5 linked regions of the Xenopus tropicalis genome follow. The protein of the gene in region 3 purifies or fractionates together with the protein of the main gene of each other region. This does not show direct contact. Links are inferred from orthologs where the notes say so. Each region holds a gene or a part of one and is shown on either strand. Other genes may lie near its edges. The genes, in order: nbr1, prune1, gsk3a, axin1 and gskip.

What was found.
Region 1: the proteins of gsk3a (region 3) and nbr1 purify together in Homo sapiens (affinity purification with western blotting; 3 studies listed by BioGRID and IntAct, with this or other methods). This does not show direct contact. The link is inferred for Xenopus tropicalis from reciprocal best matches to the Homo sapiens genes GSK3A and NBR1.
Region 2: the proteins of gsk3a (region 3) and prune1 purify together in Homo sapiens (affinity purification with mass spectrometry; 3 studies listed by BioGRID and IntAct, with this or other methods). This does not show direct contact. The link is inferred for Xenopus tropicalis from reciprocal best matches to the Homo sapiens genes GSK3A and PRUNE1.
Region 4: the proteins of gsk3a (region 3) and axin1 purify together in Homo sapiens (affinity purification with mass spectrometry; 12 studies listed by BioGRID and IntAct, with this or other methods). This does not show direct contact. The link is inferred for Xenopus tropicalis from reciprocal best matches to the Homo sapiens genes GSK3A and AXIN1.
Region 5: the proteins of gsk3a (region 3) and gskip purify together in Homo sapiens (affinity purification with mass spectrometry; 7 studies listed by BioGRID and IntAct, with this or other methods). This does not show direct contact. The link is inferred for Xenopus tropicalis from reciprocal best matches to the Homo sapiens genes GSK3A and GSKIP.

Annotation. Positions count from the first base shown.
Region 1 is NC_030686.2:19,637,331-19,643,534, reverse strand, and holds part of nbr1 (next to BRCA1 gene 1 protein), read right to left. Parts: coding exon 6,146-6,204; intron 5,830-6,145; coding exon 5,670-5,829; intron 5,410-5,669; coding exon 5,143-5,409; intron 4,345-5,142; coding exon 4,225-4,344; intron 3,720-4,224; coding exon 3,644-3,719; intron 2,657-3,643; coding exon 2,546-2,656; intron 1,488-2,545; coding exon 1,332-1,487; intron 1-1,331. UniProt on the Homo sapiens protein: Ubiquitin-binding autophagy adapter that participates in different processes including host defense or intracellular homeostasis.
Region 2 is NC_030684.2:138,308,317-138,314,638, forward strand, and holds the end of prune1 (exopolyphosphatase PRUNE1), read right to left. Parts: intron 2,332-6,322; coding exon 1,789-2,331; 3' UTR 1,681-1,788; downstream 1-1,680. UniProt on the Homo sapiens protein: Phosphodiesterase (PDE) that has higher activity toward cAMP than cGMP, as substrate. Plays a role in cell proliferation, migration and differentiation, and acts as a negative regulator of NME1. Plays a role in the regulation of neurogenesis.
Region 3 is NC_030683.2:107,337,585-107,344,238, reverse strand, and holds the start of gsk3a (glycogen synthase kinase-3 alpha), read left to right. Parts: upstream 1-2,520; 5' UTR 2,521-3,044; coding exon 3,045-3,183; intron 3,184-6,654. UniProt on the Homo sapiens protein: Constitutively active protein kinase that acts as a negative regulator in the hormonal control of glucose homeostasis, Wnt signaling and regulation of transcription factors and microtubules, by phosphorylating and inactivating glycogen synthase (GYS1 or GYS2), CTNNB1/beta-catenin, APC and AXIN1.
Region 4 is NC_030685.2:15,079,742-15,085,945, forward strand, and holds part of axin1 (axin-1), read right to left. Parts: intron 5,336-6,204; coding exon 5,198-5,335; intron 4,086-5,197; coding exon 3,532-4,085; intron 3,305-3,531; coding exon 3,128-3,304; intron 1,445-3,127; coding exon 1,199-1,444; intron 1-1,198. UniProt on the Homo sapiens protein: Component of the beta-catenin destruction complex required for regulating CTNNB1 levels through phosphorylation and ubiquitination, and modulating Wnt-signaling.
Region 5 is NC_030684.2:89,147,614-89,154,337, reverse strand, and holds the start of gskip (GSK3-beta interaction protein), read right to left. Parts: upstream 4,124-6,724; 5' UTR 4,025-4,123; intron 3,658-4,024; exon of another isoform or gene 3,621-3,657; intron 2,405-3,620; 5' UTR 2,402-2,404; coding exon 2,144-2,401; intron 818-2,143; coding exon 656-817; 3' UTR 1-655. Other genes in the region: atg2b (autophagy-related protein 2 homolog B), read left to right, coding at 4,730-4,891, 6,605-6,724. UniProt on the Homo sapiens protein: A-kinase anchoring protein for GSK3B and PKA that regulates or facilitates their kinase activity towards their targets.

The sequences.
Region 1 (6,204 bases), on a different chromosome or scaffold from region 3:
CTGCATTCACAGTTGAAGACACAGCCATCTTTAATTTGTTTAAGTTTTTCTGAGTTTGGCTGGTTTGTGGGCAGACAGCAGGGTTCAACAGGATGGGAGCCCAACAGGTTTTTTCCCAATGGCCCAGTCTAACCCTGCCTGTTAGTTGCCTCTAAAATCCACCTGTTATGCTTTCATTCTCCTTTAAAGCCAGAATGATTAATAATAGCAACAGCCAATATATACTGCCATCAACTAAACTGGTAAAGGGGATGGAAGATTTAAGCTATAAGGTTAGACTGTCAAGGTCGGGGTTGTTTTCTCTGGAAAAGAGGCGCTTGCGAGGGGACATGATTACTCTGTACAAATACATTAGAGGGGAATATAGATAGGGGGTGTTCTTTTTTCCCATAAAAACGATCAGCGCACCAGAGGTGACCCCTTTAGATTAGAGGAACGGAGCTTCCATTTGAAGCAGCGTAGGTGGTTTTTCACGGTGAGGGCAGTGAGGTTGTGGAATGCCCTTCCTAGAGATGTGGTTATGGCAGATTCTGTTAATGCCTTTAAGAGGGGCCTGGATGAGTTCTTGAACAAGCAGAATATCCAAGGCTATTGTGATACTAAAATCTACAGTTAGTATTAGTGGTTGTGTATATAGTTTATGTATGTAAGTGTATAGATAGGTAAGTATAAGTTGTGTGTGCTGGGTTTACTTGGATGGGTTGAACTTGAAGGACTCTGGTCTTTTTTCAACCCTATGTAACTATGTAACTATGTACTTATCACAGCAACCCCGAACACATGCTGTTGTTGATCAGTTTGGCCAAAACATGCTGTTTAGTAAAAGAGTTCACAAGAAGGATCTGGTCATGTCTATATAACCATCTTAAGAAAGAATGCAAAGCACCAAACCCACTAGCTGCCAAGAGCCCTTCCAATACTGCTTGGGTCATTCTGCATATTAGGATTTTGTTTCGGATTTAAGTGAATTCCAGTGCTTTTTGCTGGACCCAAACAAACATGAATCGCAAAAGTCATGTGACCTAGCTGACAAATGAATGCAACTATTTTATGTTCATATGTGAGGCAATTTTGTTAAAGAAAATGTCAAGTTTTAATATGCATATTCTCCACTGAAAGAACATTTCAAGTTTTAATATGCAAAGTCCCCACTGAATAATGGTATGGCTTAATATGACCCACATTATTCAGATCCTATTACTTTTTGAAAAAGAATATGAGATGCAGGTTTCACTGAGTATGAGATCCTATATCCAGAAACCCAAGGGATGCCTATCTCCCACCATCAGGCCTCTATGACCTTTACAGTATTGTATCAACATGGAACCCACTGTGGGGCGAGGGCTTCCTTTGAGGTAGGTTGTAATCCGGGGCTGCATCTAGCGTGAGACTGCGTATTACTGTTTCACACACAAACTGGGTTCCGCTGATTTCTTCTTCATCCTGTGCCGCAGTGTTTTCTTTGTTATCGAGAAACTTACTTAGTCCTGAAAAAAAAGGAGCCATATAAAACACACATTGATGTTTCTATAGACTACATTATCACATATGTCTGTCTGCTGGGCATCACTACATCACTGAAACTACCCAGCACAGACATACAGTACCTACAAAAAGTACTACGTTGTATTTATAGCTAGGAAATGGGTCACCAGGCTCTGGAAATGCCCTGACCCTCCAACATATGACCAATGGCATGAGTTAGTTGAGGATTTGAATAAAATAGAAAAGGCCGCATACAAAAGAAATGGAAATCACAAAAAATATGAAAAAGTATGGAATAAGTGGAATATAGCTATAAGTGAATGACCACGCTAAAAATGTACAGTAAAATAGGCTACTGTAAAAACCATACAAAACTGTACTTAATATGTCTGTTATTCTGGAAACATTGATCCTATACCCTCGCAATTTACTCTGTTACCAAGCTATGTACCATCTTTTTCATGTATCAATGCTAAACCAAATGTATGATTTTTCTATGTTCACCCTTTAATAAACTCACCTGAGTGAAAAAAAAAAAAGGGCCTGTGTCTTCAGAGGGCACCAATACCAAAATGTTGGAGATGGGGCTCATTTATAAAGACTCAGCAAATTTGCACAAGGGCAGTAACTTATAGTAACTTATCAGTGAATGGCTTCTTTTTAGGCAGCTGCAGGTTGAACAATAAAAGTAAACTTTTTGTTGCCATGGGTTACCGCCCAGATGCAAATCTGCCCAGCCTTTATAAATAAGCCTGTGCCTTAGCTGGAATAGAACCTAGCAAGGCAGCAATACTAACCACTGCATCACTGAGTGTGTAACTCAGCATCACTGCAAACAGATAAGCAGTTTTGGCCCACTCATGGAAAAACTATGCTACTAAACCGATATCACATAAATTCATTATATATACATTTATTATCCAATACATTTGTTCACAGGAAAATCTTTCCTGTGGCCACAACCAACCTTTGGTGAAGAGCTCCAGTGGCCACATGATCATATCATCAACATATATCAACATATATTTATATATTGTCTCAGTTATATGCAAGGCCTTACTATTATCTGTCTTTTGCAAAGTCATTTTACTCTCTTCAACTGTTTGTCCCAAACCTGTATTCTCAATTAATGGTCCATCGTGTGTCAGAGGAGACATGCACGGAGTCATATCTAGAAAGAAAAACTGGATCAGTATATAAGATATTAAAGGCTTATAAAAGCAAGTTTAAAGACCTAAAGAAGTTCAGAGTTGTTCCATCATTAAAACATTGTTGGTATAATGGTGAGCATGCTAATAACCAAAACCATACAAATAATGTGTCTGTTTCTGTGTATGATTGACAACAACCATTACAACCAGAAAATATTCTCTTCTATTCAGGTGCATACATACTAGCTGCAAGAAAACATGAAGCGAGATAATATTAGTTCTACTGGAATCCAAATACTGCCTTTGCATAATGAAAGGATATCTTATTTCCAATATGCATCCATTAAGCTAAACAACAATGGCTTGTTGGGGGGGTGAGATATGATAAATATTTAAACAGACCACATAATAATCTCTCATATCCTTCCAAAGAATTTATGGCTGAAAGTGGAAGGAAGGAAATTTCTGAAATTGGAAGAAAGGAAGATTTTTTTTTACCAGGCACAGACTACCAATCTGTGGATTTTAGCAAATGCTAGAGGGGCTGCTGTCAGATGGGAGCTGTTTGGGCATCTTTGTACTTGGAATGCCAGGGCCTATTTTGAATCCCAGTCAAGACCTGGCATTTTAAACTACACTGAGGCTACCACCACAGGCCCAATAAATAGCAACTGTCTATGGAATCTTATAGCAGCCCCTCTGGCATTTGCCAGATTAGGTGAAGATGGTGCAATTTATGCTGAGACAAGTTTTGTACTTTTGAATACTTCTTAGTGCCCTTGGATTTAAGCTGCCCTCTAAGTCCTGTATGCACGCTGCTGCTTAAGATCAGGCAAAAGCAAACTGCAGCTCTTTTGCCATTGTTGTGGAATACGGGCCACACTTTTGTAAACCCGGATGAGACATACCTGTTGCAAGCTATTAGCCTACCTCCCACCACCACCATGCCACTGTGTTTTTGTTTACTTCTACTCTTAATACATACAAAGTCTTTAAAGTGCACTCACCAATGGGAGTATTATGAGGAACATGTTCCAGTTCTTGGACAATGTTTATATCCAGCAACTCAAATGAAAGCAAATCCTAAACAAAAGAATAAAGGTGAACTCATCCCTTAAAGGACAAGGAAAAATTAATATAAATTAAAAGTAAGTCTAAAGGCATTCTTTTTAAGTATTTACTGCATATCTAAATTCCCAGATATCTGCTTGCTTCTCTGAGATATGGTGCTGGCAGCCTACAGCAGTGTGAAGACTACAGTGACATCACTGAAATCTCTCACCCCTTCCTGTAGGCTGGGGGGGGGGGGGGGGAGGGAATGAAACACATGTGCAGTATGAAGCAAGGAGGGAAAGGAAGGGAGAATACCTTTTTAAAGATGGCTGCCTGTTCAAGAAAACAGATAGAAAATGTGAACTAAAGTGTGACTGAGTAAATATTTAATTAGGTGAGCCAAAAGTGTGTTTTGTAAACTCTGCACCTTTATAAACTGTAAGAATAAAAGGTGAAAGTAAGAAGAAAACTGGTTATAACTAGGTGAAATTAATACCATTGCCTCCAACCCCACCAAGAAGGGACAGTTTTTTACCTGAGCAGTAAGAAGATCCACAGATGGAATGTACAGCTGTCTGTCACAGTTCATATTCCTGATTGGCTCAGGAGTGGGGGCCCTGGCCACGTCTTGGATCAGCAAGTATCCATTCTGTTGCTGAGTAAATACAGTGGGTTGCATCCTATTAAAGGTCAATATTTAATAAGGTCTGTGATTATTTTAGAAATTACAATGTAAAAAAAGTATAGTTGGAATGTAGTTCAAAATTATTATAAAAAATAATTATACCCTCAGGGACTATGGCCCATATATGGTGGACCTGTCCACAAGCAACTAGATATTGGATTTGGGAATATAACTTTGCAGTCCTAAACGTTAACCTGTGAAGAGACCCATATGTCGCATTAATGGGAGCACCAGCTCAAGGGCTGACAAATACACAAAGGAGATAAATTAACTAGATATTTCTGGCTGCAAGACAAGTTCTAGCAAGATCTTGGAAATCCCTTACTATAAATTATAACCTATTTAAGCCCAAAATCGACTGGATATTTATAAATGAAAAGTTGACAATAGCGCACACCATGGATAGACTATAGATTCGGAGGGACTCACCCTACTCACCTATTATCTACTTAACAAAGTAGTAGGCAAGTGTTCCTAAATTGAACTATGTTTAATAATATATTCCTCTGTTATTACTTAACCTTTTTTATTTATTCCCTTTATTGAAATATAAATGTAATTTTATCTCAATATCAATGATAACTTGTATCCACATGATAACATTATCTAACTGTTATACAAATATACAACTCGATTTATGAAATGTTTATTTTGTTACTATAAAACAATAAAAAAATTATAAAAAAAAAAATTATACCTTGTAATGCCAATGATTTCAAGTATACTACAGAGCTGCCATAATAGAAGGTATCAGTATTATATACTTGCCCCAATCCCCCTGGAAGATAGGTCTTTCACTGCAGGGTCCAGAATATCATTACATGCTATGGTATCCACAATGATGCTGCACCAAACTCGAGGTCCAAAGTGTTCTCCCTTATGGGACAGGCGCCAGTGGGAGGTGTAGGTCCCCTCCAGTGCCGGGGCAATAAAGTCTACAGACAAAACTCCCACCTCATTAGGGTGCAGGGAAGGGACTGGAGCTTCCTTGCATGAAGGGGGTGCTAATGTCAGGTTTCCCCACATGAACGTCAGCTGTGGAAAGTAACCCAGTCAGTATGGAGATATTATGCACTGCTACTGTTTGCAAAATTAAGAAAAAGGGTGGGGGTCTAACAAAGAAGTAATATACACAGGTAGGTTCAATGTTCAACAGGCACAGTTTTCCATACAAGCCCAGTTTCTTGGGCTGTTCTTACAGACAGACGTCCACTGACCCATTATTTTATATATATAGCAAAGAGCAATGTGTTTCAGTTTACACAGATCTTTACAAAGGATTTCTGACACATTACCTTAGTATCCAAACTCCACTTAACATTCCCATTGTTCTTCATCCTCCAGTGTTTTATAAACTTAGTCCCTGGCTGAAGATGTGTTCCATCGGGTAAGTTTTCATCCACAAAGATGGCACTGACAGTGGGGATGATCTGTGCGCATGGCTGCATGGGAATTCTGCATTGATAGAATAAAATAAGCAATGAGGCATTTATTCCCAAACTGCCCACAAGACTTTAATTATTTAGTAAATAAACTGCTACACTGAAACATACAGGGGCTAATATTTAGTAAGTTTAGAAGCCTAATTAATGAACACAAGGGCAAAGTGCTAGTTTGGACTCATAATTGAGTGGATGTCATTGCTATTTCAAAGTGCGAATGCAGACACTGACGCAGCCTGGACCTGCCAGGGTTGCACCAACAGTCACTATTGTGTAAGCAAAGCCTTAGAATCTGTATGAAAGTTAAGTTCCCAAACATAAAGTTTCACCTGAATTGTTCTTTAGGGGAAGCAAGGAAAGCAAGCGGCCCTTCAGTCCTGGCCTCTAC
Region 2 (6,322 bases), on a different chromosome or scaffold from region 3:
TGCCACCTGCTGGTCATAGCAGTTAGTGCAGCACATAAAAGCTTACTTTATATATATATATATATATGTTGAATAAAGTACCCCCTATTGTAAAATATAGGGATGTTATAAGTCACGAGGAGTTCCATGGCCATATAAAGGTTATTTGTGGCTCCTGTATATTATATAGTGAATAAAGTACCCCCTATTGTAACATATAGGGATATTATAAGTCACAGAGGCGTTCCATGGCCATATAAAGGGTATTTGTGGCTCTTGTATATTATATAGTGAATAAAGTACCCCCTATTGTAACATATAGGGATATTATAAGTCACAGAGGGGTTCCATGGCCATATAAAGGTTATTTGTGGCTCTTGTATATTATATAGTGAATAAAGTACCCCCTATTGTAACATATAGGGATATTATAAGTCACAGAGGGGTTCCATGGCCATATAAAGGTTATTTGTGGCTCCTGTATATTATATAGTGAATAAAGTACCCCCTATTGTAACATATAGGGATATTATAAGTCACAGAGGGGTTCCATGGCCATATAAAGGTTATTTGTGGCTCTTGTATATTATATAGTGAATAAAGTACCCCCTATTGTAACATATAGGGATATTATAAGTCACAGAGGGGTTCCATGGCCATATAAAGGTTATTTGTGGCTCCTGTATATTATATAGTGAATAAAGTACCCCCTATTGTAACATATAGGGATATTATAAGGCACAGAGGGGTTCCATGGCCATATAAAGGTTATTTGTGGCTCCTGTATATTATATAGTGAATAAAGTATCCCCTATTGTAACATATAGGGATATTATAAGTCACAGAGGGGTTCCATTGCCATATAAAGGTTATTTGTGGCTCCTGTATATTATATAGTGAATAAAGTACCCCCTATTGTAACATATAGGGATATTATAAGTCACAGAGGGGTTCCATGGCCATATAAAGGTACGAGGCTGAAGGCTGAGTGCTTTTATACAGGTCATGGAACTCTGAGGTACTTTTCAACAAGGGTACTTTATTTGCTATAATACACAAGTTTCAGTGAGTCATGTGACAGAAATGACATCACTAAACTCAGATTATAACTGATGGCATCACTAAGCACTGTTTATAAGGATATAATTTACAGTTTGGTCTCATAGGGAAATGACCAAACTGTAGATGATATAAATATATATATAAAAGAGAACCAATGTGAGGCTATAACACAGAATGAAGGGCTTTGGCAGCTGACTAGGGATTATGGGAAAAGCAGAAAAATGGCAGGTTAGGGCAAGGCAGAATCTGCAAGCACGAACAGAAACGCCTTTATAAAATGGGATACCCCTGCAACAGGAATCATGCCTTCTTCTGTTAGCTTATATAGGCTACCATATAGTACATGTAAAGGGAGGGGGGGGGGGGGGCGTGTTTTAGTGGGAGGAGCTCGTTGATAACACACGGACAGACATGAGGTAGGTCATACAATTGGCAAAACAGTACTCAAAAGAAAGGTTAACAGTCTGCGCGAGAGGACGGCTGCTTCCAATCCTTCCAGCGGTTGTGAACTACCGACGGCGTTCAGGGCATGCTGGGAGTTGTAGTATAGGTATATGGTACCCTTAATGCATTAGCTAGAATCACAATGTCCCTTATTAAAGGAGAATTTGGCATTTCCTACCTATTATTTCCGTTTCCTGTAGATAATAACATTTTATTGCTCTTCATTAAAAGGCAAAGCTAAGAAATCATCATTATTATTATTAATATTATTATTAATGCAATGGAATAAAAATGCTTATCTGGTCATTTCTTTTCGCCCCCTGATTGGCTCTCGGAATCTATAGCAGTTATATGGCTGAACCTTTCTAGAATGGCTTCCGCCGTCAGTTTTGGGAGACCCCTGTCGAGGGGGCAGCCTTCCACCAGACTGTTCATAGGCGTTGGGGGAAAGGAGCGCTCGTCCTCTAAGCCGTCGTCCAGTTGTGTCCTGTAAGTGCCAATAAATCCTTTGCTCCTTTGCTCTTCTCCAGGGCAACCATCTTGGCCTTCCGGCTGCTCCCCACAATCCCCAAACAACTCTCCGCCCTCCAAGTTGTCGTCGCCGGTCCTTTCCCTGAAGCCAGAGAAATCATTGGATGTCTCCGGGTTCTCCAAGGACTGCATGGATATCGGGGAGCTCTCCTCCAGGTCTCTCTTCCTCAGGAAATCTTTCAGGATGGGGAGGACCTTTTTGCGGGACGCAGCGGTGTTGCCTTGTTGGTAAGTGGTGGTACTGGGACACGGAGGGCAGGCTATGGCGGTCAGGTCGAGGGGTGGGTTGGTAGCTTGCTGCAAGGCTTTGCACACCTATAGGAAGCAGAAGTGTGTTACACTGGCACGCTGGTACACTGGCACATAAACAGGTATTGGGCACTTTGCCCCTAACTTACTATGTGATTCCCCATTGGTTGTTGTGGCACCTGTGATCACTCGTGCGAATGCGTGACAGCTGATTGGCACTTAAAATAAACATACCCATTACCTTTAAACAAGGCTCATCCTGCTTTATAAAAATCCACTACTCCCCACCACTCCACTTCTATGCCCTACCAACTGTACCCCAGAATACATGGCTGGATTAATACAGTGCCAATTTAATGTATAATAACCAAGAACCCACGGCAGGATAAATACAGTGCCAATTCCATGTATAATACCCCAGAACCAACAGCAGGATAAATACAGTGCCAATTCCATGTATAATACCCCAGAACCCACAGCAGGATAAATACAGCGCCAATTCCATGTATAATACCCCAGAACCCACAGCAGGATAAATACAGTGCCAATTCCATGTATAATATCCCAGAACCCACAGCAGGATAAATACAGTGCCAATTCCATGTATAATACCCCAGAACCCACAGCGGGATAAATACAGTGCCAATTCCATGTATAATACCCCAGAACCCACAGCGGGATAAATACAGTGCCAATTCCATGTATAATACCCCAGAACCCACAGCGGGATAAATACAGCGCCAATTCCATGTATAATACCCCAGAACCCACAGCAGGATAAATACAGCGCCAATTCCATGTATAATATCCCAGAACCCACAGCAGGATAAATACAGTGCCAATTCCATGTATAATACCCCAGAACCCACAGCGGGATAAATACAGCGCCAATTCCATGTATAATACCCCAGAACCCACAGCAGGATAAATACAGCGCCAATTCCATGTATAATATCCCAGAACCCACAGCAGGATAAATACAGTGCCAATTCCATGTATAATACCCCAGAACCCACAGCGGGATAAATACAGTGCCAATTCCATGTATAATACCCCAGAACCCACAGCGGGATAAATACAGTGCCAATTCCATGTATAATACCCCAGAACCCACAGCAGGATAAATACAGCGCCAATTCCATGTATAATACACCAGAACCCACAGCAGGATAAATACAGTGCCATATACATGTATAATACCCCAGAACCCACAGCAGGATAAATACAGTGCCAATTCCATGTATAATACCCCAGAACCCACAGCAGGATAAATACAGTGCCAATTCCATGTATAATACCCCAGAACCCACAGCAGGATAAATACAGCGCCAATTCCATGTATAATACCCCAGAACCCACAGCAGGATAAATACAGCGCCAATTCCATGTATAATACCCCAGAACCCACAGCAGGATAAATACAGTGCCAATTCCATGTATAATACCCCAGAACCCACAGCAGGATAAATACAGTGCCCAATTCCATGTATAATACCCCAGAACCCACAGCAGGATAAATACAGTGCCAATTCCATGTATAATACCCCAGAACCCACAGCAGGATAAATACAGTGCCAATTCCATGTATAATATCCCAGAACCCACAGCAGGATAAATACAGTGCCAATTCATGTATAATACCCCAGAACCCACAGCAGGATTAATACAGTGCCAATTCCATGTATAATACCCCAGAACCCACAGCAGGATAAATACAGTGCCAATTCCATGTATAATACCCCAGAACCCACAGCAGGATAAATACAGTGCCAATTCCATGTATAATACCCCAGAACCCACAGCAGGATAAATACAGCGCCAATTCATGTATAATACCCCAGAACCCACAGCAGGATAATACAGTGCCATTCCATGTATACCCAGACCCACAGCAAGATAAATACAGTGCCAATTCCATGTATAATACCCCAGAACCCACAGCAGGATAAATACAGTGCCAATTCCATGTATAATACCCAGAACCCACAGCAGGATAAATACAGTGCCAATTCCATGTATAATACCCCAGAACCCACAGCAGGATAAATACAGTGCCAATTCCATGTATAATACCCCAGAACCCACAGCGGGATAAATACAGTGCCAATTCCATGTATAATACCCCAGAACCCACAGCGGGATAAATACAGTGCCAATTCCATGTATAATACCCCAGAACCCACAGCAGGATAAATACAGTGCCAATTCCATGTATAATACCCCAGAACCCACAGCAGGATAAATACAGTGCCAATTCCATGTATAATACCCCAGAACCCACAGCAGGATAAATACAGTGCCAGTTCCATGTATAATACCCCAGAACCCACAGCAGGATAAATACAGTGCCAATTCCATGTATAATACCCCAGAACCCACAGCAGGATAAATACAGTGCCAATTCCATGTATAATACCCCAGAACACACAGCAGGATAAATCCCAGTGGCACAGCAGAACGCAGTGCTAGTACCAGGAAAGAACAGGAAATAAATACCAAATACGTAGAAAATGTAAGGAATACAAGTGAAGCATAAAACTGCCCATAGACAGGGTAAATCATACATTAGAAATATACCCCCGTCAGGGTGATTTTCAGCGCTACTACCCAGAGATCCTGCTACAAAATACACTACTGGGTCTGTAGGGATTTGGTTACTTTTAGCTTCGTTAATTCCAATTCAATTACCAAAACTAAGATTAAAGGACAAGTAAAGTCCCAGTTTCTGCGCTTTTAGACATAATTTACCAAGATAAGCTCTGTGCAATACAGCGGATTTGTTTGTTGACAAACTAAAGAACCTGAGGTCCCAGATGCAGAACCGGCAAGTAACGCCGGCACCGTGAAAACCTGAAATCCCATAGAAAGCCTAACTGGCCGGTCGTATGTTTCCTGGTGACCAATAAGAAAAAACATGTTGAAAAGCCACAAGCAACACAGCTCCCTTCCCTGTATCTGAGAATATACTGCAGGTAGTGAATGGGTTAATGGCAGGAGCGATATGGATCATAAACAAATTGCCAAAATGGGGGTAAATCACCTAAATAGTGTAAAATAGAGCAGTGACAGTCTGGGTAACATTAACCCCTAGCTCCCCAGGGCCCCAAATGGCCGATGAGATGTTGCTCCTTACCCGCGCCAACTGCCCGACCCGATTGCTCCTTGATTACTGGGATCTGCCCCGGGGCGAGATCACGTTTCTCAGGCACTAGACTTTAAACCGCAGGCCAAGTTAATCAGTGACAGGATCAGAGGGACTTTAAAGGAACATTTACACCAACACTTTCCTTTTACTGCCTGCTAAAGGGCCCAGAGCAGGGATTGGCAGGCAGCAGCTCTCCTGATGTAGTTGAACTACAACCTACTATATAGTCCATATATCCCTATCACTTTATACAGTATATAATACTGTACCTAGCAGAATGGAATACACGGTGCAGCTGTGAGTCTGTACAGTGTCCTGCCAGCCATGCAGTTGGTCCCTATGAAGGTAGTGTGGGTGCTCACTAAGCACAGCAGGGTGCAAAATGGCTTTGCGCTTTCAGAGTCCAGTCACCCTCAGGTTCGTTACACAGCTCTTCCTTGAAAGAAGTCTATATAGAGAGCGCCACCTAGTGTTGTGTTTGTTCCTTAATAAAGCAGATTCCATTGATTTCATTGGCCACTTATTTCCCTTTAAAGGAAAACTATACCCCCAGAATGAATACTGATAGTTTATATTATGTTAAGTGGCCTATTAAAGAATCTCCCCAAACTGGAATATATATATCAGTAAATATTGCCCTTTTACATCCTTTCCCTTGAGCCGCCATTTTGTGATGGCTGTGTGCTCCCTCAGAGATCAGCTGACAGGAAGTGATGCAGCTCTGTGTAACAGGAAGTAGTGTGGGAGTAAAAGGCAGAACTCTGCCCATTCATTGGCTGATGGGGCCTAGCATGTATGTGTGCCTTGGCTTGTTTGTGTGCACTGTGAATTATATGATCCCAGGGGGCGGCCCTTAGTAATTAGTACCTAAGTTCCACACTAGGGGGCGCTCCCCTCCACTGACGACCCCTG
Region 3 (6,654 bases):
GCCAAAATCTTGTTTATGTGCCAGAATGGGGGACCAGATGCCCATGCACTGGCTACACGATTAGATGAGGAGGAGGGAGGGGAAAGTGAGATGTGCAGTGACATCTAGGAAGTGCTGAATGGAAAGCTAAAGTTATTGCCTGCCCCGCCTCTATGCCTAAGGCATAGAGGCGGGGCAAGCAATATATGATTGACAGCTGTGATTTTTAAATGTCTTTAAAATGGGTTTGGATGTGTTAATATAAAAATGAATTTGGGTTTTATGTTTAATTTGAACAGGACTTTTATTATACAGATTTTCATGTCTGGGTGACAGGTCCACTTTAAGTCGGATCTCTTATCTTAAGTCTGCTAAAAAAATTAATTAAACAGTAATTAAACCCAATAGGATAATTTTGCCTCCAATAAGGGTTAATTATATATTAGTTGGGATGAAGTACAAGGTACTGTTTTATTATTACAGAGAAAAAGGAAACCATATTTAAAAATGTGAATTATTTGATGAAAATGCAATCTATAGGAGATGGCCTTTCTATAATTCGGAACTATCTGGATAATGGGTTTCCGGATGAGGGGTCCTGTATCGAAAAAGGAGACAAAAAGGTAAAATCACTGAGGGGTGCCAAAATGTTAAGCACCCCCCCCCCCCCAGTGACAGTAACTGCTTACTTTATATCTGAGGTTGGTTGCCCCTGTTAAAAGAAAACCGTACCAGCCTGGGATAGCTGCAAACAAGTGATCCTCTTCCTTCTCTTGTTTGGCTTTTCACTCTACTGTGCATGTGTGAGCTACGAGAAGGAATAGGACTGCTCTCTTGCAGCCATCCCAGGCTGGTGCAGTTTTCTCCTTACAGGAGTGCCAGCCCAGGGTATAAGTAGTTACAGTCACTGGGGGGTGCCTTACATTTTCGAACCCCCTGGTGATTGTACCTTTCCTTCTTGTTTAATATCCAGAGATTCCCCCGGACCTTGGCGATTCACTGACCCAGCCAGTAAAAATAGTATTTGATGCCAATGTTATTAATACTGACAATTAAGGTTTTTTATTATAAGTTTCCAGAAAAGGCACCCTTTTAAGACCCTGCAATTATAGACTCTATCCCATTCCCAAGAAATGTCTGTCCCTGGAAATGTCTTTTTAAAATGTCCAGCTGCACGTTTGATCCCATTTACACTCCCAAAATTTGAAAATTGTAAATGGGGACAAAAAATAAGTCATAGTGCAGGGTAATTTTTTTTTTTTACCATGACTATTTTGTGACCATACTCCCTAAATACCACACCCATTTTACAAAATCTGGCAGGTTATGTAAAGTTTGAACACATTTCTGGGGGGCTTTGAGGTCTCCATTATGTGTTATTACTATATTGCTAATGAAGGTGAAATTTCCCTGCAAGTCTCTGTTCCCCTGAAAGACCTAGTTTATGTTATTAGTTATAATTGTATCTAAGTGCAGGTGTTGAATATTCTGGGCTCTCTGCCAAAAGCTACTTATCTAGTTTAGTTTTAGAAACTTTGATCTCCTGCACTAAATGGCAGAAAATGATACAAAGGTAAATGGGGGGACATTTCCAGAGGTGTCAATTCTCAAATTTTGGGAGTGTCCCAATTTACCTGGGACTGTGCTATTAAAATTGTGACAGTTGTGAAGTATGCATTTGTGGCCATACAGACTAGGGGTGTATTTATTAACATTAAAGACAAACATCACTGGTGATGTTGCCCATAGCAACCATTCAGCAATTAGATTTCAATGGACACCTACAAGTTAGAAAGCAAAGATCTGAGTCATTGGAGACAAACGTCATCGGTGATGTTGCCCATAGCAGTGTTAATAAATAATCCCCCTAGTCTTTTCTATGTATAATTTGTAGGGGGGTTGACACCTTTTGCATTTTCTCTGTCTGCAGAAAATACAATAGAGATAACACCAATATGGTGCCAAACTGCTCTTGCAATTGACTAATTACAGCTGCCTGCTGAGTGGATTTTGAGTAGAATGCCAAGTCAATGGCTGCCGGGCCCATGATTTTTTTGTATAGTGGAGTTCTCTCCTGATGGAAAATCACATTGATATTGAGTACCATTAATACTTCGTAAAATACAGGCCATAAAACAGTGTATTGTGTGATGCTGGCAGCTGTGGCATAACTGACATGACTGTGACTGAAATGCATATGTGAAACACTAGAACCATTTTACAGTTGTTGTACTTATGGCTTTCAAGCTTTATTTATATATATATATAATATATTTTTTTTTTTTTTTTACTGTGCATTGATTCCATGAAAGGTATTGGTGCAGGGCCAGACTAGCAATCTGTGGGTTCTGGCAAACACCAGAGGGGTTGCTGTAAGAGTTCAGTCATTATTTAATACATCCCTCTTATATAGTCTATTCCTAACGAACGTCTATTTTGAATTCCCGCGCATTTCTTCCACATCCGCCCTTTTTTGATAAACTAGTAGTCGATATGTTGCCCAAAACGCATATGGCGCTTACTCACTTCCGCCCCAATTTACAACTAGAGTCCCAGTCTCCCACACATCCGTATTCCTGGCCCTAGTTCGACGGCTGCCGAAGAGTGGGCCTTTTAGTTATTGTTCGATACTAGATACATATTGCCTAAGAGACAGAAAACATGAGCAGGTCACTGTGAATGTTATGAGGTAGCCCCCAGCCCCACCCACAGGCAGCTGTTTCCGTCATTAGCACGGCTGGCATTCACGCCACTTCTGCTCTAACGCGGGGGCATGTGGTAGTTGTAGTTTCCGCCCCCCGGACCCCCGCATCAGGTGACGCTGGAATCCCATAGTTCCTTGCGCGCACTACCACGACTCAGACACCGCGTGGGAAGCTGGGAGTTGTAGTCCTGCCTGGGATTGCCTGTGACTGGGGGGGCAGAGCGGGCCTCGGATTCCCAGAGAGCCGCACGACGCGGCCTGGACTTCGGAGAGGCTGATTTTGAGGAGTGTGGTGGCGGCGGCCGCAGGGAAGGTTCCCTAGCCCGGTACCATTCAGCGCTTGTACTTGTCGCTCCTCAGTATGAGCGCCGCCAACCGGGCCCGGGGCGGGGGCGAGGCCTTCGTGGAGCAGGTACAAGCGGGGACAAATAAAGGACCCGTGACTTCCGCGGCTGCATCTGGCGGAGCGTCCGTGCCCGGGGCCTTTATGAAGATAGGGAGTAAGTATATAGCGCCATGGTGGCTTCCTGCTGTACAGGTGGGCTGGGGAAAGGCAACAATACACTTCATTCTCAAGTGGGGCGTCCTGTAATTCTATCTCCCTGTTATCACTACAGGGGAATCTGCTCATCTACAGCTTCCGAAGCTCTGGGGCAGCAATGGAGTAATGGCTTGGGCAGGGGGCTCAGGCTGAAGGCCAGCTAGGGTGGGATATGGGGAGACTGTATATTCGTTTGTTACACCACAAAGCCCCGCCTGAAGGTCACTTACAGGGAGATTTGGGGTGACTGCTGCCCTACATATTCCCCAAACTGTTACTGATACCCCACTCCTTCCCTATGTCTGTAACCTTGTGCATTGAGGGGGTCTTGCCCAGTGCTGGACCAACTGAACTGAAATAATACAGGGACCACTGATCTACCCTTGTGTCCAGGATCTGCTGTCTTCTCTGAAAATGTATTGTATAATGTCACCCTTAAACTCCAGCCAGTGACAATGTGACCCAGAGCCAAGGTACCAGGACAAAGGTAAAGTTGGTTGCCGAATGAGCAACTCTTTCCCCAAATGCCAGCCTTGAGGTGGGCAGGATTGGGTCACATTGATGACATACAGGCCTTCGGGACTAGGGACACTTTAATGTTAACTCAATATCGTATTAATATTAATCAATATCTAGACGATCTTAGGCCAGATATCAGACTATTCACTTAGTATTGCTGAGCTATAACTCAGTGGTACGGTGGTTGTCAGTTCAAGCCCATCTTTGTGCTCCAACATTCCCCCCCCCCAGTTTAGGAACCACTGTTCTAGTAGTACAAACAGTACAGCACATACCTTCTTTGAAGAGGCATCATAATAAAAACTTTGTTACAGGTAGAGAGTAAAGCTGAAGAAAGAAAGAAAATTAGAAAAGCTAGTCTACAACCTTTAGCCAAGCTATGAAGGATGCCAAAAGTAAAAAGACATGGAAAGGGTAACACTTTATGGGGTGCCAAAAAGTTTATCCATGTAGCGGAGACTGTGAGTTTTATCTCCTATTAAATGATCTTTTTGCAAAGGCATGCTTACTTTATTATATTAGAGCGAGGTTTTAGCTGATTTGGGTTTTTCTCTGAACCGTATCAGATTTGGCCACAAACACAATAGCCTAATGAGGGCGATCCGACTGTTTGGTCCCAGGCTAACAATCAGATCATAATGTGGGCATGTGAAGTCAGCTGATATTTGCGTTACATAGATCCCATGCACATGCATCCACCAAAAAGTAGGTGGCTTTAGGCTTGAAAATTGTAAGAGGTAATATAGGATCTCTGTAGACAGGCTATTTTGTTGTATTGTATAAAATGTTATTTATAAATGGAAGCCTTTAGGATTAAGAGACTAAGGGAGATATCGGCAAAAATGGTGAAGGAGGCATTTTTAAGTGATTTCCTGGGGTCGCTGCTTGTAATGTGTTTTACACACATCATTTGAAAGGAAAATAAAGGGGAAGATATCGTCGGGCACATTCAGCGCCTGCAGAAGAGATGGTTTCCCACCAGGTGATCAAGCCAGTCCGACATTTAAAGCTGCCGTTTGCTTCTGAAGGCAAATTAGCACTTACTAGTTGTTAGGCTTATGGGGTTACTGGTTGCACAGTTCCAGCACGTCTGACTGGAATCTTATTGACCTAAAGCAAATTATGGTTGGAATTTCAGGTTGTTTAGAGCTCGCACACATGCAGATGGCAGGGCAGTTTAAGTCTACATTGCGCAACTGTTGGCCTGCATGTGGCTACTTTATACAAACCCATAACTGTTTCTCGTGGGTCATTTGTCCACCCATCAATTAAACACAATTGTGCAACGGACCAGTTAGAATTTACTTAGCGATCCATGCTGTGAAACAGGCACTTTAAAATGTTTTTTTTATAGTTATTGGTTCTGACCATGTATGTAGGAGTTGTATAAAAATAGCCTATACTATAAACAGAGTTCTTTTTGTACATGAATGAGCTTGACGGGTAGAGTGGGAATTGTTAACCACTAAGAGACATATTTAAAACTATTGTGAATGTGGACGTGCCCTGGCTGGCTGTGGCCCTTACTAAGTTTTAGCAAAGTTTTCGCTGGTGGGATGGCTATTCGGGGAGATTAGTCGCCCGCGAACAGGGAAATTTGTCGCTGGCGACTAATCTCCCAGTGTGCCAGAGCCCTTTATAGTGTAGGGTCATTGTCACATTTACACAATGGGCAATTTAATCAGTAGCCAGCTAACTGGTCTGGATTTAGAGTGGGGGGGGGGGGGGGGGTGCAAGATACCCGGGAAAACCCTGCGTAGGCAGGATGAGAACATACAAACCGCTTGCAGATCGTGCACAGAACTGATCATAGAGCTTCAATTTAGTAGTGCTAGCCATTGAGCTTTTATTGAATCGCCAGTAAGCACTCCCTAAACTTTGACTTTTTAGATAACTTCTTCATTATTAAAACTGAGTATCTGACCCGTTTGGGGCATTTGCCTATAAGAGAAATAATCCTTATAAAAATAAAATGTGTCCAAAAGTATCTGGGCAATCCATCTAAAGTCGCTTGTCCGTGTAACTGTTGCTGCTCACTTCCAAAATGTTTCCCAAAGCAATGGCAGCTCATGAACTATTCTTATGGGACATTGATTGCCAACAAAACCCCAAAGATGAATTAACCTAACATTGTCTGCAGTGCCACTCATCTGCTGGGGTGCTGTGAAGCTAACTACCAGTGCACTCTCAAGCAGTGGAAATGTGCCCTCTGGAGTAATTGATTTTCTGAGTCCGATACAAAGTCTGGCTTTGGAAGATGCTAGAAGAGCACCAGCCAACGGAATCCTTCCTGCAGGCAGTAAAGTTTGGTGGGCTGTTTTGCTAGGCACCCTGGTTCCATTGAACGCAAACCTTAAAGGAACAGTAACACCAAAAAATGAAAGTGTTTCAAAGTAATTAAACTATAATGTACTGATGCCCTGCACTGGTACAACTGGTGCCTTTGTTTGAAACTTTACTATAGTTTATATAAATAAGCTGCTGTTTAGCCATCGGCAGCCATTCAAAGCTGAAAAAGGAGAAAAGACACAGGTTACAAAGCAGATAATGGATAAACTCTATAGTACACAATGGGATTATGCACAGCTTATCTGTTATCTACTGTGTATCCTGTGCTTGAATGGCTGCCCTCATGACTACACAGCAGCATTTTCTAGAAACTATAGTAATGTTTCTGAAGCAAACACACCAGTGTTCCCAATGCTGGGCAGCAGTACATTGTACTGCTCCCACAGTCCTGGATACAGTGTTTGTCAAACTTAATTATATAAGTAGCTTTTGCCAAAGAGCCCAGAATACTCAACACCTGCACTTAGATACAGTTGTAACTTATAAGCTAAACAGGTCTCTTGGGGGAACTGAGACTTGCAGCTTAAAGGAGAATGCAAGTCAAAATTTAAAAAGCATACTG
Region 4 (6,204 bases), on a different chromosome or scaffold from region 3:
GCTACTGAGGATATGGGTAGCGCTGAGTAAGGGGGCTGCTGCCTGTGCCTTGGGACACAAGGTGGGTTCTCCAGAGATAATCAATGAAACTAGGGGTTTAAACATGACAATTCTGGGATACAATGCCACTGCCTGTAATCTACAGTTTTACCATAAACTATAATCGGTTTTGTGTATAAATGCAGGCAGAGAAACAGCCATTCCATTCTGCACTGGCCCGGGAGAAGAATCATGGAGGAGATTTCAAGTGTGGAGAGAAGCACAAGTGGGCAGGCTGTTTTCCGGCCTGCATATTTTAGCCATCCGAAACACAGCCAAGTGTGGCACTACCTATAAACTCTGTAACTGGATTTTTTTTTATGAGTTGAACGTCATTATCAGGATAAGGGGGAAAAGGGTGGGAGGAAAATATTCTGATTTCTGAAAGTAAAGATTGTAACTTTGAATTTCAGCAATGCTTGGAAAGCCATATGAAATTTTAATGTGTTTAAAAGCTGCGCACAAGCAGTAGTTTGGCTCCCTGCGAGTCGGCTGCTGTCGAGCACAAACCCCCCACTGCCTGGCATAGCCTCCAAAGCGTAAGGATAATGAGCTACTTACAAGCGAGAGCTCCTATAATGGGTGTCCCATGGCACCAACAGACTGGTGCTAAGAGGGATCAGCTAGTTCCCTTACATCCAGAGAACGTTCCCTTTTATATGGCATTTCACAGGGACGCAACAGCTTATCTCATTTAATATAAATAAAATGAAGCAGCGTTCCTACCTGCGGCTAAAGGACAGTTCCAGTCCAGCTGTGTCCTTACTGACAAGTGCAGCGAGGTCCCTTCAGACACATAGCCGGAGGGGCACGCTGTAATTAGGAGTGAGCCTCCAGCTAAACACAAGGCCTGAGCTGCCTTCAGAGGGGGGTGACTGCTCTCAGCCCGTACAGGTAGGTAGGAATGGTATCAAGTGGTCATAGTAACCCTTGTGTAGCCACACTGCCCAACCTGCTGCTGTTCAACTACTGCAAGCACCCCCTGTAGCTGTATGTGCACTCATATGGTTACAGATATATGGCTGCAACTTCACCACCCTGAGAGAGTTCCTGCAGCAAATAAACATGCTCCGCATCTCACCATCATTCTCATAAAGGCTGGAGGAATGAAAGCGCTCCCCAACACAAAAAACAACAATAGTGTGTGTGACCCCGGTACCTTTGTTTCTGCGGCATCTTCCCCGCTCTTTTCTCCTCTTCCTCGAGACGTCTCCTCGCTTCTTCCAGCTGCGTCAGAGGATTAGGGGCAGGGTTGGGGGGCATGGTAGGGTCTTGGATGAAGGGATGGGAAGGCTGTACCACGTTGCGGAGCTGAGCGCTGACCCAAGGATGAACGGCACCGGGACGCTCGATAGAAAGTGGTCTGGGCAATTCGGAAGGAGGCTGCTTCTTGGCACCAGAGGAGCTGTAACCCCAAAATGAGATATGTCACCCCAAAGCAATTTAAGAAGCAGTTGCTATGCATGAATATCGGTACTTAGTATGTGCACCCCACAGCCAATGAAATTAAGCTTAGCAAAAATGTGGATCCTTTTGCAGCCCAGGCCTAGGTAGTACCAATGGGAAAGGATCACATCAACAATGTGTTCAACCCCCTATGGGATTTTCTAACCTGCCTCATTAATATCTTTCTCAAAAATGGCGAAATATCCAACAGGTAGGCTGACTAGAACTGCAAAATAATTTTTATTCAAAAGGGGCCTTAAGATTAACTTTTAGTATAATGTAGAGAGTGATATTCTAAGACAATTGGTAATTGGTCTTCCTATTTTATTATTTGTGGTTTTCGAGTTACTGCGTTTTTTATTCAACTGTTATCCAGTTCAGGATTTCAGCAGCTACCTGGTTGTTAGGGTTCATATTACCCTAGCAACGAGGTATTGATTTAAACAAGAGCACGGAATATGAACAGGAGCACGCCTGAATAGAAAGATGGGTAATACAAAGTTGTAATAACATTACAATTATAGCCTTACAGCACATTTGTTGTTTTGGCTGATGGGGTCAGTGACCCCCATTTGAAACCTGGAAAGGAAGTGGAAAGCAAATAATTCAGTAACTTAAAGAAAGAAAAAATAAAGGCCAATTAAAAATATATAACATACTAAAAGTTAAAGGGGTGGTTCCCCTTCAGTATGTTATAGAATGGCCTATTCTTAGCATGTTTTCATATTTTATTCTTTATAATTTTTGAATTATTTGTCATCCTCTTCTGCCTCTTTCCAGCTTTCAAATGGGGGTCACTGACCCCGGCAGCCAAAAACTATTGCTCTGTGAGGCTACAATTTTATTGTTATGGTTAATTTGTATTACTTAACTTTCTATTTAGGCCCTCTCCTATTTATATTCCTGTCTCTCTTTTAAACCACTGCCTGATTGTTGGATTAAATTGGACCCTAGCAGCCAGATAGCTGCTGAAATTCCAAACTGGAGAGCTGCTGAACAAAAAGCTAAATGTTTCAAAAACTGCAGATAATTAAAAATGAAGCCCAATTGCAGATTGCCTCAGGATAGCACTCTCTACACCAGGGATCCCCAACCAGTGGCTCGGGGGCAACATGTTGCTCCCCAACCCCTTGGATGTTGCTCTCAGTGCCCCCAAACCAGGGAGTTATTTTTGAATTCCTGACTTGGGGGCAAGTTTTGGTTGAATAAAGCCCCCTGTAAGCTGATAGTGTGCATAGAGGCCCCTAATAGCCAATTACAGCCCTTATTTGGCTCCTCCATGAACTTTTATGGTGCTTGTGTTGCTGCCCAAGTCTTTCTACATTTGACTGTGGCTCATGAGTAAGAAAGGTTGGGGTCCCCTGCTCTACATCATAGTAAAAGTTCATTGAAAGGCGAACCCCTCTTTCAAGAGGCTAAACACTCAAAATCACATATGTTACTGGCTGGATCATGTTTGACTAAACATGCAGGAGAAAATGACTTGCATATGGTTACAAGGCCCCATATTATTATTATTATGGTTGAACGTGACGGACGTATGTCTTTTTTCAACCTAACTTACTATGTTACTATATGGTACCGCCACCCACACCAGCCAAAAGGCAGCATTCTGTATGCGAATAAACCGGTTTGCACTCACCTGTGGTTACTTTTCTTGTGTCTGCTTATTTCCTTCTCTCCCTCCATTATCCACTGTAAGATCTTCTGGTGTCTCTCTGCATCCTCAGGGACAACAGGCATCTCATAGCTGGCACTTTCGCTCTTGCCTAAATCTGCCTTTTTAGCGTTCCTTTTTGAAAGCATGCTGACTTTGCCACTGTGGAAGACAGACAGGTTACTGCTTTATGGCTGCTAGCTACTCCTGCCTATTCCTCATCCTTCATCCAGTTACTGTTTGTGTCTTAAGCTTACAGAGAAGGGGGAGTTTGTTGAATGGAGAGGTCTTCTGGCAAAGGTTATTTAACAATTTGCTATACATTTTCATTTTTAGGGATCTAACAGACCTGTGAAATATAAACAGATAACAATTTTGCCTTTAGTTACCTGTAAGCCAAAGAATCCATAGGATTGGGAGCCATACCCATGCTCTCTGCATAATTGCGCGATTTGGTTGCATAGTTATGAGACTCTACATTCCAAGGGAAGTTGGTCTGTACTCGCTGTGTTGCTTCCGCCTCTATCTGCTCTTTTGGTTTAACCCCGCCATGGTGATGGACGTGGTGGTAGACGTGCTTGTGATGATGCATGTTACCAGAGTCTACTTTTGAGCCGGACTTGGACGTATGCTTTCCATGTCCCGTTTGCATTGTTCCCAGAGACCCGGGAAGGGTCTTGCTTACATGGCCATCTGGGGAGCGGGGTTTTGGGGAATGACGTCCGGTCCCAGGAGACTGGCAGCCTGGGGTTTTCATGACGCGCTGCACGTGCTCATCGAGAATAGATTCCGGATTTTCCTCATGGGCGTCTCGGACTTGCATTCCGACGCATCCCATGTCAGAATAGCGTGAATTATAGTGATGCATCGGCGGGCCTGAAGGCAACTTGTGGCTAATAATCGAAGGTCCAGAGGAGACATCCCCATCGTCCCCTTCTTCTTCCTATAAAGGGAAAAATAAATTTGGGTTGAAAACCGCGACACAGATCAAATCTACTACAAACACCGGCCTCTTAGAAAGTATTCATGCTGTCACCGCAGCCATTCACTAAGCAAAGTGCATTATTTGAAGCTTGCAAAACATGTGGCAAAACCCTCTGCATTGACAATAAAGGTAACTGCCCTGACACCTTCAGGTCAATACATGCTCAGAATTTTCAGTCAATGCCATGCCTTTTTTCTGTGTTTTGCCAAATACTTTGTGCTATTTAAGGTTTTTAAACCTTAAACACCTACAGGTGGGCAATATTGGGTTAATTCAGTCTTTGGCCCTAAGGCCAAATGGTCAAATTAAAACAGCGGGTATAGGTGCCATCAGTATGATTTTTCCATCGGATCCAGGGACGAATGACGGGTCTGCCGGACTGACATGTGCCCAGAAAACGGGCAGATCTCAATTGGTCAGGTTTGAATTTTCCGTCGGATCTGGGGATCGCATCAACAAGTCGATGCAATCCCCTGATCAGACGGAAAATTGAAACCTGGCCAATTGAGATCTGCCCATTTTCCCGTCAGATGTCAGTCGGGCAGACCCGCCATTCATGCCCATACACGGACAGACAAGCTGCCGAATCGGTCTAAAGGACCAATATTGGCAGCTAGAATCGGCCCATGTATGGCCACCTTAAGAGTTAAGAAGGCTTTATTTATACATAAAAGGTTAAACTTGACATACGACAAGGGCTTTTAGGTGCCATAGAAAGCAGTGGAGGGCAGTTTCAGCCTTAAGTGTTCAAGCAACTAAGGCCCGGAAATGGCATGAATACCATTGCTATTAGGCCATTATGTATGTGCCTAATGCTTCTCTGCTGCCCAACATAGGGCTGACTTAACTGATGCAATTTAGCAACTGAAAACAAAAACAATAGATTGTAAGCTCTTTTGCTCTTGTATCGGTTATTGATTGCTTTATATGTTACTCTGTATGTCCAATGTATGAAACCCACTTATTGTACAACGCTGCGGAATATGTTGGCGATTTATAAATAAATGTTAATAATAATAATAATAATAACAACTTGTAGTGTGATCAGAGATAAAGCAATCGGTACTTACGGCTCGGACGCGCTTAAGCCGCTCTTCAAGCTTCTGTTCTGCTTCGCGGTCTCTCAGGACCCCCTCCAAGCGACTAATAAGTTCAGCAGCAAATTTTTCTGGATCGACGTGAATATCCTTTGGCATATGATATGTACGCTGGGGGGAAATATATGTCAGAGAGTTAATTAAGGAACAATTCAGCAAAACAGAGTGCGACGGTTCATGCACAGCCCTAATGATTCCAGGTATATTTTTGGGTTCCAAATACTTCATTTCTTTGGGTGGTTGGCAGCATGGAAGAAAACACTACCAATTTCCATTTAAATTAACTTATATGTTATAGATGAACCAAGCAGCTTTCCCAGCTGAACCTTTTTTAGGCGCTCTCCCCATTCGATGAAAATTGCTTGAGTGTTACCCAGTTGCTATGGTAATTACACCCTAGCAACCAAGGGCTGTTTAAATGCCAAGCTTCCCATATGCAGAACAATACAACACAAAGGGGCACAGCCTAAAGCCTTTGATACGGAAGACTATTTTTCTAAATACAATTTTTAATATAATATCCCCGTTGTTTTCTTGAAAGGGAAATAAAATCTGCTGGAAGCGAAAGAAGGGAAAGGGAAACAAGACATTCATTAGTTTCATCTTGACTCTGGGTGGATCCCGACCAATAACTCTGCAGGGGAAGGAGCTGCAGAGCTTTCAATAACCTGAAAGAACATTCCAAGGGGGGGAACAAAAACTACAAAGATTAGTCAGCACCCCAGGGCTAAGGCATAATGGCTGAGAGCTATGGAAACAAATCGAGTAGGACAAAACCCCCCTGTCTGAAGGATAAGAATGAGCTCAAAAAGAAAATATAAAAAGGGGTTTCAGACAAGCCCTTCCAAGGGGGACATGAATATTCTTCCATATCCAGATTGGGATGTCTCATACAGAGAGTAAGGGAACACACACAAAAATAAATATATATTGTAAAAAATGCTATCAATGATGTTTGTGCAACTGGTACATTTCGGCTA
Region 5 (6,724 bases), on a different chromosome or scaffold from region 3:
ATGTGGTAAACTTACATCCATTAACACGAATATATATACCTACAGTGATATAAATTTAGCATCTGGTATAATGGCTATAAATCCAAATAAGTAGACTGACAAATTCCTATTATTATATGTTATATATCTTGCTGTACTATTAAAACCACAAATTATTCCTTTTTAACACAAATGAACGCACGAGCATGCCAAAGTATTCAGGACTCAAGAAATGTTGCTATATGTATGCAAGATTAAATCATTACAAAATGCATGGCAGTCTAAAGAAAGGACAGCATCATGCAACAGTAATCACCCAAAATTACAGTTTAATTCAAGATTAGGTGTCACTTCTGCAATACAGCAACATTATTGTAACACTTTGCTAGAGCAAGCTCAATAGAAACAGCAAATATGCAAAATATTTCCATAGAAGATAAGATCAGGGCACATAAACCTGCAGCAAATTATATGATTTGAGATTCCAACCAAAGATTAAAAACCATCCCTAACAGCTAGATTGAAGACTGTATTGTATGTATATATATATCCGAAACAGAAAACACTACGGTGGGTGCTGCAATGAGATGTTAAACTGAATGAGATGTTAAAAATAAATTAAAACTTGTGTATAAACATGGTTTTATATTAATAGGCAGATTTCTAAAGGAATCACTTATGACTGTCCATCTCTTTTCAGTGCTTCCAATCTCTGCAGAAGTGCATTTCCAAAGGCCTCCCGGTATGCTGGACTGAGAGAGTCCAATAAAGAGTAGACAGTCTCATGGTACTGGCTACACAGTCCTTCAGCAAGATGGTCAAATGCATAACCAGCCACCTGGAATAAAAAATGTAAAGACAATATTAGAATAAGATGAGCAGCAAAATAATACTTTTATTATTTTTACATTGTGTGCATTCACAATTAACCTTCTTTTTGAGTCAACACCATAGCCAGATTGATATCTGCCAGTGCCCCAGATACATCCCCCATGCCTAACCCCTAAAATACACATGTCTGGACATGTGCCAGTTAAGCCAATAACCTCATCCGCGAAATACTTCACAAAACTTAGATACAAGTATCCGGTGGCAGGCTGGGGTATTTAAAAAAAATTAAAAAATTGTTTTTGACATATCCTTTATAGAATAAGCCCATTTTTATTAAATTATTAATTTCATAAATGGACAAAAACTGCATTTTAAAAGGGATACTCATTTTAAAGGGAAAGGAAAGCCAAACTAAACATTCCCCTTTTAGGCTCAATCTGGATATTGGTGTACACCTTTTTTGTGGTAATACTTGTCTTCAAATTGCTTGTAAGTGGGCAAAGTGTAAGCCTTGGCTAACACCACTCCCCGCTCCTGCCTTGGTTGCCAATCGGAGCATAAGCATTAAATTCCTAGCTTGCTCAGTCTGGACTTTGTTTCGGGCAGGAGCATTTTGATAATGCACAATGGTAGGCAATGCAGGCCAGAAGGAGGACTGCACAATGCATATATGACAACTTACTACTTAAGAAAATGTCTAGCTATTTTATTTAAAATTTTTATATATATATATATATATATATATATATATATATATATATATATATATATATAAAGACTGAAACGCTGGATTTAATAAACCAAAAACTTTTCTCTATTATTGAACGTGTGTGCATAATTCCTATGAGTGCTGTGTCACTTGTACAAAATACATTTTGATTCCTGCACAAGCACCCAGGTATCAACTCTGGTTTATGGTGTGCTGCTTACTTGCTCCCTACACACACAGGGTTTCATACAAATGTATATAAAATGATATTTATTGAGAAAAAATAAAAAAAATAAACATAGCAAGCCTCAACATTTCAGTCCCCACTGGGACTTTCATCAGGAGGCAAAAACTGAAGCACTGAAACTGTACGTTTTTAGGGAGATCTGTGAATTTTCCTATTTTCCTATATTTTCTATTTTAAGCTTATTTTCACAATGGTGTAAAAAAATTATAGATTTAACTGTAGGAAGCAATGACCTGGAGAATTTAAAACCAATAAAACATAGTTGAGTAGTGATGGGCAAATTCGCTCATCACTATAGTTGAGTTGTGCTGAGACCATCTAGAATATGTAGCACAATGTACACATTTTCATATGTTGTACTCCTTCAAAACACTTACCCTTAACCCAGCATCAGTAAGTTCCAGGCAGTATCTGGTTCCTTCCTTTATCTCAACATTGATGTATGCAACATCCACAGCACATGGTAGAGTTTTTGAGACAAACATGTTGCCAACAGCAAACAGTACATCATTTACAATAGCTTCAGCCTCTAAACACATATCCTTTACATCAGTTCCTTCCAAATCTCTGAATTCAGACTCATCTTCATAAACAGTGTTAACTGGCAAATCCATTGGGTTGTAGTCGACCTCCATTTTCTAAAAAACAAACAAACAAAGTAGTTAAGGGAAATAGGATTAGACTAAATTAACAGTCAAAAAAGTCTGCACCAAAAACTGTATTTAAAAAAAAAAAAAATATTAATCTGCTTTGATAAGGTATTTCTGTACATACAAAAAATTAATAAAAAGAGAAGTGTGCCTTTAAGGTATTCTTTTGGTCAATTCTTCCAGTACTTTCTCCTGCTGTCAATGGAAAGCAGCCCATAGCTTTTCCACAAAAATCTGATTGCTACTACAACAAAGCAGCTTTTGTGCCATATGCCTTTAAATCATATCATACTTAAACTATTCATACACCTAAAGATCTGCTTGTTTGGCAAGAGTTTTCCCCTTTATGCCCATCTTAAGCAGGGTGCTGTCAGGCTGATCTGATCATTTGGCCCTCGAGCCAATGATCAAATTATAAATATGCAGGCCATCAGAAGAGGACTGCATCAAAGGGCTGATCCTGTCCTTGCTAAGACAGCAAAATCAAGCCTGCTCGATTGCTATCAGGATTTTTAATCATATAATATTGCTCCTATATACAGCCAATAAGCTGCTGAGCTGGTGTGGAAGGACAGAGTATGGTCACCTTAAGTGATTTTTCAAGAGCAATATATATCTCCCCTGAAGGCTAACTGGCAATCATTTCTACTGAATTCAACCTGCAGTGATTCAGCGCCTGAGTTGGAGAGCCTCCAGACACAGAAAATGCTGACCATCACTATGCATTATGCCCACCATATTTTAAAATATCACTAAATCATTCATAAACAGGCATAAAACAAACACAGAGATACTAAAATGCATATTTTAATATTTAATGAATAATTCATGTGTAATGAATAATCAACAGGAGACATTCAAATTCAGGATAAAGCTCCCAAAGTGCGATTGCTTCTATCAAGTACAAGTATGGGATCCCTTATCTGGAAACCCATTATCCAGAAAGCTCCGAATTACGGAAAGCCCGTCTCCCATAGACTCCATTTTAATCAAATAATTCAGAATTTGAAAACTGATTTCCTTTTTCTCTGCAGTAATAAAGCAGTACATTGTAATTGATCCTAATAAGATATAAATATTCCTTTTTGGATGCAAAACAATCCTATTGGGTTTAATTAATGTTTTATTGATTTTTTAGTAGACTTAAGGTATGGAGATCCAAATTATGGATCCAAATTACGGAAAGACCTCTAATCCGCCATACCCTTGGTCCCGAGTATTCTGGATAACGGGTCCTATACCTGTAAAGTAAAGAAGTCAACGTTAGCAAACTAAATGCTTAAATATTGATCCTTCCTACACACAATTCACATGGTCTCTAATTTTCATACAAATTGCTGACACAATAGATTGTACAATAATTTGCTTAGCAGTTCATATTCAGGACCAATTCTCAGGGAGGACAGGCAACGTCCTGCATGAGTCGCAGTATCTCCCAGTATTTTTTTCATAACGAAAGCAAATCGCGATTCTCTGGGACATAAGAGCAATTGCTGAACTATAACCAGAATATTATTTTCCAGAGTCATGCAGCGCCTGTGTATAGAAGTAAGGCGCTACGCCCCTGTCTGACTGCGACTCCTGCCAGCCTAGTTTTCACACTTTTACCTGTAATTATTTGCGTTAAAGGAGATTAGTCTTATCACGCAGATTCCAAACTACAGTACAATCAATGCCTTCCGCAGCTCTGGTTAAACCTTTACTTCCTGTTCATGCCGATTGCCACATTCACAATCATTAAGTAACCGTGACCGGGCACGCTAGGACTGGAGTTCCCATTGTGTGCCAAATTAAAAAATGGCGTCCGTAGAACTGTGTTGTTCTCACAACCTGGAAGTGATGTCATTGTTTATGTCTCGATCCCTGAGACAAGCTGATACGGAGTTATGGGAGAGTGAGAAGGCAGCTTTTTGGAATTGTTAGGATTATAAGCTTGTTGTATTGCTGCCAGTATTGCACTGTTATCCTCCTACCGAAACCCGACTAATGGAAGGGCTGAATCTCCGCGGCAACACTGAGCATGGACTTCAGATACAGCTGATTAACGTGGCTTGAAGGCCTTTAATAGAAATACGCAATATTGTGTGACTTTGGCAATACCCAGTGTGTTGGGTGAATGGTTAAATGAATGACGAGTTTAAGATGGATAAGTAATGGTCAATAGTTATGCATGCGAATCAAACAGACAAGCTAAGTGTGTGCATGACATGTGCAGGTTGTGTATGTTAGTTCTGGGTACTTAAATTAGCACCTAAATTCTGCTTAGGGTGACAGAGTTAATAGGGCTGTGTGATCTCCCATTCAGTAGTAATCATGCCTTGGCCCTTCTCTGAGTCCATCAAGAAAAGGGCCTGCAGGTACCTGCTGCAACGATATCTAGGGCACTTTCTTCAGGAAAAACTCAGCCTGGAACAGCTCACTTTGGACTTGTATCAAGGCACTGGCTCTCTGTCACAAGTTCCCTTGGACAAATGGGTAAGCCATGTAAATGACAATGTCTGAAATGCATTGATTGAAAATGAATTATCTTTCTATAAACATGGTGTTATAACAGTGGCACATAGTAATCTTAACAGAGTTAAAGGGGAATGGCCATAGACATAAAAATGCACCCATACTGTTGTAGATGCTCAATATTTAATTGTCTTAAAGAGGTGATTTAGATTTTTTGGTATAGTTTTTGAGATAAATGGTGCATTCATGTAACATTTATTGCTACAAACAGCTCAACCATTCTGTTTGTTAGTGCATTGCAGTTTACTGGAATGACGTTGAAGAATTCACAAATAAATTGGTAAATATGTGTATGTAAAAGTATAATAAAGACTATTAGTGAAACACATTTCAGTAGCCGTGTGTTATCCCTGCTTGAGAGAACATACCAGTTTAGTTCTTTATTATTGTTTTTTTTTTTCCAGTTGAAAGTGTTTCTAAGGGTAAAGACACACACTGGGCTACTAGTAGCAGCTACTTTTTCAAGGCTACTGATCTCCAGAAAATACCCTGCCATAGACAATACTGAGAATTTCCTCTGCTAAAGCACACGTAGAGACAATTATCAGTAAATGGTCAGCATTGTCTTTTTTTAGTAGCCACGACAAGTAGCTGCTACTAGTAGCTCTGTGTGTCTTCACCCTTAGTACCTTCTTGTCTATTCAGTAGCCCTTAAGTTCACACATTATGTTTTGTCACATTTTTCTGATGAAGTAACAAGGAGTAAATACAGAGAACTGTCCAATGTCATCTCTTATCATTAGCATGGTACACCTTAACAGTTGTAATTGTCCTCTAATTTTGCTGAAGCTACTTTTCTTCTACCCATTCAACTTGCTGGTTTGACTTCTTCTTCATTTGTGTTCTGTTTTGATTGATGGCATGGTGCAGCAAGATCAAAGGTTCCCAGCAGGAAAAGGGTTAAATTGGCTTGGTTTATTGCCACTTAGACTGAACTAGCAAGCTTTCTAATATTTCAAGAAAGGGCTGTAGTTGCTTAAAGCACAAGCACAAGCACACACATTCTTTTACATTCCTCCAAATCAAAATTTAAGGTACTTTATCTAATAATGTTCTGAATCATTGTTTGAAAGTGTTAGATTGTGGAATGTATTGAATCAATGAGTACTCCACTGTCCAATACTTAAGGCAGATACCTAACTTCTTGTTAAATTCAGGTTTTTTTGCAAAATAAGCTCATATTATACTATTTTATGCCTCCCTCTTGATATTTTACTGCATTTACTGAAGTGTTTTTCAGCCCTATGGAAACTAAAGACATTACTTTTCAGCAATATATATTTCCTATATATATATATTTCCTATTTTGTATGCTTAGACTTTACCAATCACTGAAACTTTGTTAATTAAGCTCATTTTTAATTGTATACATTGAGGAAAATAACTGATTAAGCACGTTTGATTTTTAACAAAAATCTCTTTTTTTATGAAGGTAAACTCTCAACCCACTTTTTTTTATTATTGAAATATTTAGAAAACGTTTTGGAATTTGAATGGAATGCAATTAGTTTCTAGAAATTAGTTTTCTATTTGATTGGTGCTTTACAACAATTGTAGTATTAATAGTTCCTTAAATAATAATTTTCTAATTACAGGTTTATTATAATGAAGTGTTGTAATATCACACATGAAGCAATGTGAACTATGCATTTATTATACTATTTTTCTATCTAGAGTCTAAATGAAATACTGGAGTCAGCAGATGCACCTTTGGAGGTTACAGAAGGTTTTATACAAGCCATCTCTCTCTCCATTCCATGGGGCTCCTTACTGCAGGATAATTGTGCACTTGAA